Regions from separate parts of the Mus musculus genome. Here regions 1 and 2 are each reported to be linked to region 3. The links are microRNA targets in miRTarBase. Many come from high-throughput screens and were not tested one by one. Region 3 holds a microRNA gene; each other region holds the end of a gene's coding sequence.
What was found. Region 3 holds the annotated microRNA mmu-miR-34a-5p (UGGCAGUGUCUUAGCUGGUUGU, at 2,796-2,817, opposite strand). A microRNA usually pairs through its seed, bases 2 to 8, with sites in the 3' UTR of a target mRNA and lowers its output. Matches are read on the target gene's strand: a 7mer-m8 pairs with bases 2 to 8, a 7mer-A1 pairs with bases 2 to 7 and ends in A, and an 8mer does both.

Region 1: miRTarBase lists Epb42 as a target of mmu-miR-34a-5p. Seed matches in the 3' UTR shown: 7mer-m8 at 3,510-3,516.
Region 2: miRTarBase lists Bcl6 as a target of mmu-miR-34a-5p. Seed matches in the 3' UTR shown: 8mer at 3,206-3,213.

Annotation. Positions count from the first base shown.
Region 1 is chr2:121,015,645-121,019,857 of GRCm38, forward strand. It overlaps Epb42 (erythrocyte membrane protein band 4.2), which reads right to left. Exons shown (of 13, transcript NM_013513.3): 13 at 2,247-3,969. The coding sequence ends at 3,807. It overlaps Ccndbp1 (cyclin D-type binding-protein 1), which reads left to right. Exons shown (of 11, transcript NM_010761.2): 10 at 487-533; 11 at 755-1,268. The coding sequence ends at 869. Among named protein-coding and RNA genes, the nearest start is that of Ccndbp1, 9.3 kb to the left of the region's middle.
Region 2 is chr16:23,962,719-23,966,943 of GRCm38, forward strand. Bcl6 (B cell leukemia/lymphoma 6) reads right to left here. Exons shown (of 10, transcript NM_009744.4): 10 at 2,332-3,550. The coding sequence ends at 3,407. Among named protein-coding and RNA genes, the nearest start is that of Gm31527, 23 kb to the right of the region's middle.
Region 3 is chr4:150,067,065-150,071,289 of GRCm38, reverse strand. It overlaps Mir34a (microRNA 34a), which reads right to left and starts at 2,836; the gene lies at 2,735-2,836.

The sequences.
Region 1 (4,213 bases), not on the chromosome of region 3:
ATGCCAGTGGTGTTCCTAAGATCTTGTTAAACAGAAAAGAACCTAGTCAGCATTTTAAATTTCATTCATTCCTTCATTCATTCATCCATCTATATATTGATTGATTGATTGTGTATGCATATGTAAGTCACATTGTATGTCATTGTATGTGTAGAGACCTGAGTATAGCTTGTGGGAGTCCTTCCATCATGTGGGTCCCAAGAATCATACTCAGGTTGTCATGACAGCCAGCGTGCTTACCCACTGAGCCATCTCATCAGCCCTTATCAGTCAAGGCTTTTTTTTTTTTTTTTAAACATGAGTGCTGGAAGTTCAAACTCAGGTAGGTCTTCAGGTCTTCATGGTTTTAGAGCACCAAAACATTTCCTCCACCCACTTTAAGGCTCTTTTTAAATGATTCTGTTATCATCATTAATTGTATCTTCAAGTTCTCCTTTCTATTGGTGCCATGGCTCAGAGTGAATGTTATCTCTGTTCCTTTTCTAGTCTGCGAAATTGGTGTCTGTTTTAATAAAGGCTCTTGAAATTACAAAGTAAGTATGAAGACTTCTCCCTGTGTGTTTTGAGACTAAAATCATCTGCCCAGCTATTCTGCCCCATTTCAGATTAGCATGCGGGTATGGGTAGGGGTGTGGAGCAGCCAGTCTGTGAAGGGGAATCCCTCTTACTGTAGTTTCTTCTCTGTGCCTCCTGGGAATGCTTTTCCCTTCACGCCGTGTTAACTTGATTTTTTTTTTTTTCTGTTTTATTCCAGAGCAAGTCACGTGAGCCCCCACCCAGGAGATAGCTGGATTCCTTTACTCATTAATGCCGTTGACCATTGCATGAACAGAATTAAGGCGCTCACTCAGCGTGCAGCTGAACTGTGAGCCTCCAATCCCTACTCTTCTTTCTCCCCTCTCTCTCACACCCACGATCCAGTGTCTGCTTTACCTATTTATTTTTTAAGTTTTTTTAACGTCTGCTTTTAGAAGTGGAGCTTTGACAGGGTGTTTGCTCGATAGAAAGGCAGCCTCTGTCCTTAAGAAGAGATTGTTACCAAGACTCCAGGCTAGGAGAGATTGCAGTTATCCACCAATCATACAGTGTGCTATGCTTCTGTGCTGGACACAAATTTCTATAAACTTGTGCTCTGAGCTGTTTTTTGGAAATCTTTAAGGAAGTTGACTTGTTCTCTAGTTTACTACAGTAAAGCATATTGTTTTATTAAGATTTTAATGATCTCAATAAATTGCTAACCTGCTGTGATTAAATGTGTCATTTAATGTGTCCTCTGAAGTGTCATTTAAAATCTTCTATCATAAGCCAGGCATGTTGGCATATACCTTTAATCAAAGCACTAGGGTGGCAGAGACAGGTAGATTTCTGAGTTCGATGCCAGCCTGGTCTACATAGTATATTCCAGGACAGCCAGAGCTCACAGAAAGACCCTGACTTAAAAAGTGTATTTTAAAACCTAAAATCTCTTTTTAAATTCAGTTTCTAAACTGTGGGCTCCTGTAAAATCAAAAATAAGTTAAATACTTTCTTACTTCAAGATGGAAGAACCAGGGTACAGTCACAATCTGAACAAAGCAAAACCACACTCCATCAGTGCAAGTAAATCCATGTTCTATATCTGGGATTTACTCTAATTTGAGTTCAGGAACTCTAACCCTGCCACAAACTGCCAAGCCTCAGCTGCTCCCATGACACATTCACACCTTCAAAAACAGCACCACTTGAGTAACTTACATCACCAAGTCTGGCTGCCAGCACAAGGCATAACTATGGCTGCCCCTGGAACACAGCTTCTGTGTGTTGACTCTGAGGAAGCTGGTCTCTTCTTAATCGCAGCTAATTCTTCAGCCCCAGCTGACCAGCATCTCTTATCCCAGCAAAGCAAGGGTTTTACTTTAATGGTTCTGTTCTTTTGTTAATCAGATCCAGTTCTTCAGCTCCAGGTGAGCAGACACCACAGACTTCTTCCCAATATGACCCCATGGAGTCTTTACTTCCCTTTGAAAGTTCACAAACTTTCCACTGTCTTCATTGCTTTCAATAATCTTATCTTCCAAGCCCTTACAGAACATCCTACTGAGCCCTCAGCACTCAATGACTTCTAGCCCAAAGTTTCAAAGTCCTTCCATAATCCTCCCCAAATCATCATGGTCTGGTCTGTCACAGCAATAACCCACTCTCCTGGTACTAATTTCTGTCTTAGTGTTTTATTGATGTGCAGAAACACCATGACCATACCAACTCTTATAAGAGAGAGCATTTAATTGGGGCTTGCTTACAGTTTCAGAGGTTTAGTCCATTAGTCATCATGACAAGGAGCATGGCAGCATTCAGGCAGACATAGGCCCGGAGAAGTAGCTGAGAGTTTTACATCTCAATCTACAGGCTGCAGGAAGAGAGACACTGGGCCTGGCTTGGGCTTTTGAAACTTCAAAGCCCACCCACCAGCAACACACTTCCTCCAACAAGCCACACCTCCCAATCCTTCTCAATCAGTTCCACTAACTAGGGACCAAGAGTTTTCATTTATGAGCCTTTAGGGAATTTCTCAGTCAAACCACCACAGCTCATTTGTTAGCTTTGTCCACTTTATTAAGAAGATTTGTTTTCTTTATACAAACCCATCTTGTCATTGTTTAATATAACATGTATTCTCAAATGTGAACACACTTTTATAAAGCAAAAAAATGCATGAATTTATAATTTAGACAAAAAATTTGATACATTGTTTCCAACTACATTGCTATGAAATTATATGTTGTGTGCATCTAGAACAACAGTTCTCAACCATGGATTTCGAAACCCTTTGATGGTCACATATCATATATCCTGAATATCAGATATTTACATTATGATTCATAACAACAGCAAAATTATAATTATGAAGTAGCAACAAAATAATTTTATGGTTGGGGGTCACCAAAATACGAGGAACTGTACTAATGGACCTCAGCATTAGAAGGCTGAGAACCACTGCTCTAGAAGATCATATGTTGGAAAGCAGGGTAAAGCTGCAGTGGGGTGTGGTGTATGACCTGAATAGAGTCCCCCGAAAACACCAGCACTCATGAAGATCTAGCTATAGATAAGTTTAGTCTATTCTTTCAGGTCCTATGTTAATGTGTTATAATAGCTCTATCCACTCATCTTTGGGTCTTTTACAATAGCCACCAGGGAAAGAATTAATCAATGTAATTTTAGTATTATGTGAAAATTCTATTTTTAGTCAATATTGTTCTATGTCATCAGAAATAGATTTAAATATTAGGTTGTCTTTCATTCCTGTAGGTTAATGGATATGTTAACGAGCAATAAAATGGTATGAAACATCTGAACACCCCAAATCTGAATGTACTCTGAAAAGGTAGTCAGAACATCTCATTATACTTTGAGAAGTTATCTGAGTGTCTTTTCAAAGGCTTGTTTTTATCACTTATGCAGTTTAGTCTAAGACAAATAGTGTTTCTGACTGCCTTAGGTTGGCTTGATACAAATGGATTTTGGAGCCAGGCAGTGGTGGCGCACGCCTTTAATCCCAGTACTTGGGAGGCAGAGGCAGGTGGATCTCTGAGTTCAAGGCCAGTGTGATCTACAGAGTGAGTTCCTGGACCAACAGCACTACATAGAGAAACCCTGTCTCAAAAATACCAACCAACCAACCAACCAAATAACCAAAAAACAAGGAAAAAAAATGGATTTTGGTTTCTGTGAATCTAGCTGATTTTTGGCCACTGGTCTGTTGCTTGGTAGGCAGAATTCCCCTCTGGAGCATGTCTAGTTTTAGACGGTTGAGGGTTGTTTGGGAGTTAAACAGAAACTTCAGGGGCCACCACAAGGACACTTCTGTAGCCGGTCAGGTTCTGGAACATGTCACAATCTACTTCCACAGTGAGCCTTTGGAGCCCCAGATGTGTTGGGGTGAACTGGAACTGAGTATGTAGGCTGCTTCCTGGCCACAGAGAACCCAATCTGAAATAAAGGTAGAGATAGGTGTTAATTCTCCTCTGGATCATTGCTCCACTGATCTCTATGGGTTGATTTTCCTGGCTGGAAGATGTGGGACACAAGGATTTAGAAATCTAAGTACATTGCTGGGAAGCCAGAAGTGATCATAAAGGAGGGGAGACAGGAGCTTCTCTATACAGAGCAGCCGTGTGACTCAAGACAGCACTGGGATTTGGTTTGGCCCTGTTCTTGGTAATAGTACTTACCG
Region 2 (4,225 bases), not on the chromosome of region 3:
GCTGCTGTGGCTTAGGTATAGAGTCAAGCTCCCAAGCCCTCCAAAAGCAATTGTTTTAAAATGCTTGTCCTCAGGTGGTAGCACTATTCTAGAAGGTTCTGGAAACTTTAGAAGGTGAGACCTATATGGAGGAGATAGGTCACTCAGCACATGCCCTTGAGACAGTGTCATCTTCTTTCTCTCTCTTTGCTTCCTGTCTGTCATGATATTCTGTCTCATCACAAGTTGAGTTAGCAGAGCCAAGGACAATGGACAGGAACACCTGAAGTTGTGACCTTAAAGACATCAAAACTGTGAGCTTAAAGACTTCAACCCTTCTTTGCTGAGACGGGAGTTCTGACAAACAAAACCTGTGCTACCTCTACTCTAGCTAGAGTCATCTGGGAAGTAGGACCCTCAGCTGAGAGAATGCTGCCACAGACTGGCCTGTTGACAGTTTCTGGGGGGCAGTTTCCTGATTTACAATTGATGTGGGAGGGTCCTGAGCAGATGGACCAGGATTGGATCGGAAGCTGAGCAAGCCACAGTGCACAAGCAAGCAGCGATCCTCCATGGTCTCTGCTTCAGTTCCTGGCACCAGGTTCCTGCCTTGAGTTCCTGCCCCGACTTCCTTCTGTGGTGGACTGTGGTTAGGAAATGTAAGCCCAATAAACCCTTTCTTCCCCAAATTGCATTTGGTCTGTGTTTTATTATAGCAAAAGAAAGTGAACGGAAGCCAAAGCTAATACACCTTCCTCAATACACACTTCAACCTGCGGTCCTAGTAAACCTTTCCCTCAAAAACTTCCATGATGCAGAGAGTCTTAAACACATCCTAGTGTTTGAGACACCTTTGTGTGTGTGTGTGTGTGTGTGTGTGTGTGTGTCTGTCTGTCTGTGTGTGTGTCTGTGTCTGTGTGTGTCTGTGTGTGAAAATGCATTCACTCCATGATTTTGTAATAAAATTCTCTCTCCCCTTTGCTGTGGGCTATACTCTTAATAACTCCGTTTAGAGATGTTTCCCTTTTACTTATTATTAATCATCGGCTGACTGCAGTAGCTCAGTCTTTGATCTCCCTTTTGTCGGAACGCCACCCTCCCCGTCTGCTCCTCCGTCTCCCTCATAAATAGGAATGGTACAAAAACAGACTCTCGGGAGCAAAAGGAGCCTGAGGCCAGCTTCCCTCAGGCCCGTGAATTGTCATTCCTGAAGCTGTCTAGTCCGTAAGTTCTTCTGCCAGGTTTCTATGGGAGCTGAGGGATCGGTTTCCCCCTTTTCAAAGAGCAGGGTGAGTTGAGGCCTCGAGCTGGCAAGTCCTTTAAAGTCATTTTCAAAGGAAACCCGAGCTGCAAGGCCTTGCGGTTGGCAGAAGGTGGCGTGACTTTCTGAAGCTCTCTTGGGACTTCGGGTGGGCAACTCCCCTAGCTTCTCAACACGTGCCCAGAGACGGCAGCAACACCACTGCCAGGAGCTGACCAGTAAGTAGGCACGTGTTCCCTCCCCACTGCCACCCAGGAACAGGAAGGGGACGCAGGCTTTCTCTTCTGGGCCCATTACCAGAACCACACTTGTCTCCCCAGTTCTCAGATCCTGTCAATCATACTTGGTCCTTGGGGTTTTCTGAGGTAAAATATCCACGGGTGCCAAAGCAGGCCAGCGTGAACTTACATCTGAATCACGGATGCATAAATGGTCTCGTTAATCCAGTCTACTCTTGGATGGGCTGGGACAGAGACCCACAGCAAAAATAGCGACCTGACGCACACAGGAGGAGGTGGCTGAGTTCTGACACTGGGGTAGAGGCTTGCTTGGCCTCTGGCCAATCATAAAGCTTTCAAGTCTGTGAATGTCTGTCGGTCACCCAGGAGGCTCTGAATGCGTGGATGCCGAGAGATGTGTGTGGCTTCAGCCGGATGCCTTTGACCTGCCAGGCGTAGCCAAGTAAAGAAAATATGTTTCTAAAGCCAGAGCCAGGATGGGACTTCTTACTTTAGAAAAGAATAATCCCAGAGGTGGGAGAGGCTATGACTCGTTAGAGGTTGGAGAGACTATGACGTTTGTGTCTAAAGAACAAGGACTGCAGTTATTAAGAGTGAGGCTTGGAGCTGGGTCAGATACCCTACTTGACCTCCAGGCCTAGTGTCTGGGCTCTGTAGCTGATCCTGGTGTTCAGGATCAAAATAGGCAGGAAGCTACCTGGACAAGCCCCAGTCTGGCTCTCAGGCCAAGCTCCTCTCTCATACCTCACTGGCCAGCGGGCCCCACTCCCACGCCCCTAGAACATTTCCCACCGAAGCAAAGACCACTCTGATCTCTCTCCATGCAAAGACAGATCCTCAGAAAGAGCCAGCTCGACTTTTCAATGTTTTATTCTTATGTTTTGTACAGCTCTATTTTACAACGCACTAATGCAGTTTAGACACAGCCAAACCCTGTCTCCGGAGTAATTATAACGACAAGCATGACGCAGAATGTGGGAGGAGTCAAACATTCCCAAAGAGAGTTTAGTTAGTGACAACTTCAAGTCCCTGTGTCTGCCTACACTTCAAAAAGGGATGGCGCACACCCGTCCATCATTGAAAACTTCCGTGTAAAAAGGCACCGTGAGGACACATTACAGGTATGTACAAACTGAAAACTGGAACAAAAGTATACATTTCTCCTTCTGCAGCTTTTTTTTTTGTTCTTTTTGTTTTTAATACACACTTTGTAAATTTGTAAACCTTCACTTGCAAAAAAATACAAATACACGGAGGCATTTTAGACAAAATATTTTCTTACTTATACAGACGCAATACTTAAAATAGTCTCTTAAGTGCTCTTTCTCAATAAAGATTCTCAGATCCGTGTCTGCCTGCAGATACAAAATCGAGCCTTTAACACAGTTTTATATTTTCAATATATCTTTTTAGGTTTATATATTTATATTATATATATATATATTTATATATTTACAACTCTGCCATATATTCCTTCACCTTTGGTTAAAAAAATTAAAGCCTTCTCTTTGACAGCATACTGAAGTCTTGTCTTTTAAAACAATACACATTTACATACAAAAGAGACCTCTGTTCCCACACATCATTTACATTCCTCGGTTGCAACCTGTCAAGTCAGAACTTCTGCATTCTCCCCTACTTTGATATAGAAAATGAATTTGCTTTTTGCTGACAGGGTTTGCCTTACACATAGGAGAAGAAGCAATAGTATTTTCTTAATGTTTTATGGCAGTGTGGGAAGGGGAGCTGCCTTGGCTCCCGGTCCCGCAAACCCCACCCCCACCCCCACCCCAACTATGATTTGCACTAGTGGATGAGAGAGGCACTACATCATGGGATGACCTTTGTATAAAGTGTTACAGCATCCTTTGGGTAGATTCTGAGAAGGGGCTGGAGAGGAAAGGGCGAGGAACACTCCATGCTTCATTCAGCAGGCTTTGGGGAGCTCCGGAGGCAGGTCAGCGGCCGACACGCGGTATTGCACCTTGGTGTTGGTGATGGCGCCGTGCTTCTGGCGCAAATGAAGTCGCAGTTGGCTTTTGTGACGAAAGTGCAGGTTACACTTCTCACACTGAAGAGACAGCAGAAGCCAAGTGTTAGCTGTCATCCACTCGAGAAACGAGTCAGTGCTCAAAAGCCCAGAAGAGAGGCAACTCCGTGAGGGTTGGGTGCAGGCACCTCCTCCCTCTCAAAGGGCAGATTTAGAATCCATACAAATCTTGGCTTCCACTGGAGGTTAGGTATACACTGTGCAAATGCCCCAGCCTCCCCTTCAGCTCACGGGTCCCTCGGACTTAAGATGTCCTTCCCTGACTTAAATGCATGATTACAAGTCTTATCCAAAAGATAAGTTCAGATGCATAGACTGCCCCCATTAGAAACATTTCTGAATCTAAGATGAAATAATCCATCTCTTTCTAGCTCTCAGAGTTTCAGCCTTGCCTCACAACTGCCCTGGGGTACTGATGTCTTCATCATGTGGCTTTGAATACTTTGCATACTTTGAAGTACTTCTCAACCAAACTTGGTCATCTTCCCTGTGACCTAGCAGAATATACCTTCAGAAAACTGCAAAATCAATCCGATTGCAGCAGCACAAATGAACTAAATAGCATAAATCCATGGGGAGTCTTGAGTCTAGGAGATGGTTTTCTTTATTTCCAAATGGCATAAGTCCCCTGTACCTGTGTCACCCACTGCTGTGTATACTGGTCATATCATCTCTCAAGACTGGCTTTCCCTTCTG
Region 3 (4,225 bases):
GACAGCAGAGCGCGTCACATCCCCCTGGTACTGGAGTTACAAACGGCTGAGCTACCACTAAGGTGCTGAGTAGTGAACCCAGGTCTTCTGGAAAAGCAGTATCCACTAAGCCACCTCTCCAGCCCCGCTTTTCTGGTTTCGAGCTAGCTTGTGTCAACCCCGTCAGCTTTGAACTGATCCTCCTGCCTCTAACCCTTCAAATGTTAGAATTATAGGTATGAGCCACCCCACCCAGCTGCCAGTTCTGAATTCTTATTACCTAGGCGTTTAAATTTTCTTCTTTCTTCTTTAGACAATGTATGTAGCACTATATAGTTGTGGTAGGTTTGACGCTACACACAGTCAGGCGGGCCTTGTACTTGGAGAGATCCACCTGCCCCTGCTCTCAGAGGCTTCAATTAAATACTAACAACCCAGGCATTTTTACAGCTGACTTCTCTCTAAGGAGGACACTTTTTCTTGTTCTTCTACTGGCACAAATAAAAGCCAAGCTGGACTGGAAAAGAAATTTTTTGAAAATGACTTCACTTGGGGCTGAAGAGATGGCTCAGCAGTTAAGAGCACTGGGTGCTCTTCAAGAGGACATGGGTTCAATACCCAGTAAGAGCTGAAGTCACACCTGTCTATAACTCCAGTTCCAGGGCTTCTAACACCCTCACACAGACAGACAGACAGACATGCAGGCAAATAAAAGTTATATACCCTTTAAACTCAAGCTGATACACATGAGAAGCCAGAGTATGGCCCCTTTAATTTACAAGCCCAGGGCCAGTCAATTGCTGAGGGGAGGAGGGTCAGGCATTCTTGACTACTGTAGGAAAACTGAAAAAATGTGAAGCCTGCGCTTGCAGGCTCTCTCGTGTGTGCGGCTTCGGGCAATCCTCCTGGAGGACTGTGAACCCTCCTGTCAGTGCTCAGCATTCCTGGCATGTCAGCTGCCCTGACTCAGCCCACGCCTGGCTCCCCAGGGCTGTGGAGCTAACGGAGTGTGTGGTTGAGTGGGCACAGGACATGGTCCACCCACCAGGCCCCATTACAAAGGGGCCCTCTGGAAAGGCAGCCCTCGGTGCAGAGTCTACTTAGGGAGAGAGCAATTCCTGCGGGAAGGGGCTTGCTGAAGAATGTGGCTGCACACACACACACACCAACATTAGGAGAAAGGGAGGGGGACGGGTGTGGTGACATGAGCCTGCCACCCCAGTACTTGGAAGGCTGAGACAGGAGGATTGCTTCAAGTGTGAGGCCAGCCTGGTCTGCATGACAAGCTGCAGGCTAACCCCGGGCCACACAGTGAGACCCCGTCTCTAGAAACCAGAGAGCCATCGGGATGGTTCAGTGGGTAAAGATGCTTGTCACACAAGCCTAACCAGCCTGCAGACCTGGTATGAAACCCACATAAAGGTGAAAGGAGAAAACGTACTTCATATAGCTGACCTCTGACCTCCACACGTGAGCCATGGCACTTGGAGCACCTCCCCAATGCACACATAAGAAGAAATAAAATAACTGGAAAAAGCCGGGCGTGGTGGCGCACGCCTTTAATCCCAGCACTCGGGAGGCAGAGGCAGGCAGATTTCTGAGTTCGAGGCCAGCCTGGTATACAAAGTGAGCTCCAGGACAGCCAGGGCTATACAGAGAAACCCTGTCTCGAAAAAAAAAAAAAAAAAAAAAAAACCCAAAAAATAACTGGAAAAAAAAACCCAGAAAGAGAAAGAAGAGAGGGGTATCTATCTTCAGTCTAAGGTTCGACCTCAAATGGTAGAGGTTACCCCCTCAAAGCCATCAGCATCCTGGGCCGGGCTTTGACTGAAAAGGGAAACTTGTACCAATTTTTGTTGCTGGTGGTGGTGGTTGTTTTTGTGTTTTTGAGGTTTTCACATTGTATCTCAGGATGGCCCCAAACTCATTATGTAGTCAGGCTACTAAACCAGTTGCCCTCTTGAATTCTGGACGTAAGCCATCAACTCATCCAGGTTTTCTGAGATGCACTTGAAACCCGCTTCATGAGAGGAGGCACTGTGGGTTCAACAGCAAGGCAGCTCTGAGCCCTGGGCCCATTCCCTGGGGCACCAGCCGGAGACTTCTGCACTCCACCCCTGCTATGTCCTGTGTCCTCGGCTACCTTTCTGTTTGAACCCGTGTGTCTGTCTGTCTGTAAGAAGCAGATCACAGCAGACCCTTGATGTATACCCTGGATCTCCAACAGCCCAAACGCAGAAAGCCTTCACTCAACAGCAGCGGTCTGCCTGGGCTTACCCAGACTACAGAGCTCAGCCCCTCTCTGAGGCCACGTGCGCTTCAGGCAGAGTTGCATGGAGCAGGTGGAAGGGGGCAGCTGGACATTCAGGTGAGGGTCTTGTGACCGTCCCCAGCCCTCCACAAGAAGTGTAAACAGCCAGCAAGCCCAGCAGGAAGAGTCCTTTTGCAAGAGGGCACAGCGGAATGCCCCAAGATGGTGGCTGTTTGGCTAGGAGGATCAACACACATCATACAGTCTCCTTCCATGCTGTAATTAGTACCCCGACATGCAAACTTCTCTTAGCCAGAAGTGCTCACACTCCAGACCCAGTGCCTCCCCCTGACACTCAGCCCCCGTAAACATGCTCCCCGTGGGGTGCTAACACCAGCCTCCCCAGCATCCCATACCCACCAGTATGGTCGAGCAGCTCCGCAAGTCCAGCGCCTCTCAGGGGTGTGGGCGTTGCTGACCTCTGACCTTTTCCTTCTCGGCCCAACAATGTGCAGCACTTCTAGGGCAGTATACTTGCTGATTGCTTCCTTAGCTAATACTCACAACAACCAGCTAAGACACTGCCAAAGAATTACTCACAGCTGGCCAGCCCAGGCTGAGGCGCCCGCAGTCACAGGAAGATGGAGAGGCTGCGGGAGAAAGATGTGTAGTGGACCCTACCGAGGTATGACACACTCCTCCAGCACTTGGAAGCCAGCACGCTAGCACAGGAGGGAAGCAGCAGGGTACAGCAGTGCCTCCCCATCCAGCACCCACGAAGGGCGCACTAGTCGGGATTCAGCTGGAGGGACAGCGCCACCAGGAGGGCTTCAGGAATGCCTTCCGGCTTCCACAAGGAGGCTGAGTCAGGAGGTTCCTTTGAGTTTAGGAGTTCAAGACCAGTCTGGGCAATATGGTGAGACTGAAGTAAAAACTGGAAGCTGAAGAGATGGCTCAGCGGTTAAGAGCACTGTCTGCTCTTGCAGAGGACCCAGGTTCTATTCTGAGCACCTGCAAGGTGACTCACAACCACCTGTAACTCCAGTTACAGGGACTCTGACACCCTCATCTGGCCTCCGGGGGTACCAGGCACACACACAGTGTATACACATCAGGCAAAACACGTATACACATTCAAACAAGCAAATCTTTACAAATAAAACTAAGCCAGTGAGATAGGACAGCGGGCAAAGGCAAAGGCACTTGCTACCAAGCAAGGGGACCTGAGTTAGATCCCAGAACACACACACACACACACACACACACACACACACACACACACACACGCTATGACATGCACCCCACCCCCAGTAATCCAACAAAGAGATGTGAAACAACAGCGACCTTCCCTCAACCAAACCCCGTTAACCAGTGAGACTGGTCAGGCCTGCAGAGCTGAGACTGGGCTCAGCAGGAAGTATAGTCCCTCAACAGGATGGCTGAAGCCCACCTACTGTCTGAGAGTAGAGGGTACTCTTCACTTCAGGGCAGTGACTCCGGAAGCTGGAGTCCTTCACACCAACACCTAGGCCAGTGTTTGGGTGGATGCCTGTGGACCCCAGGCCTCCAGTTACACAGAAAACTGACCACTATTCCCTGCTGGCTGCCTTAATATGCAGAGACTGGGCTGGGGCCGTTCACTTGTTCAGTCGATGGAGCCCTTGCTTGACAGGTGCCGGACGTTGGGCTTCATCCCCAGCACCGTAAACAAAAAGGATCCAGATTAGTGCATCTCTCAGAGAAGCTGACTTTTGAGGTAGCCGGCGGTTAACGGAGACCCACAAGTCGTCTGTGTACAAGACTGTGGGTTGTCCAACTCTAAATATGACATCTATCATACTCCTCCGGGGCTCCGCGGTCACCTAGGAACGGGGTGGAGCCAGAAGAGTTGGAGGCTGCAAATGTCTTCCGGGGAAACAGTATTTGCCACACACGACAGAGCCACTGAACACCTGAACTCAGTGGCTGTGACTGTATTCATAAGATCAGCAGAAG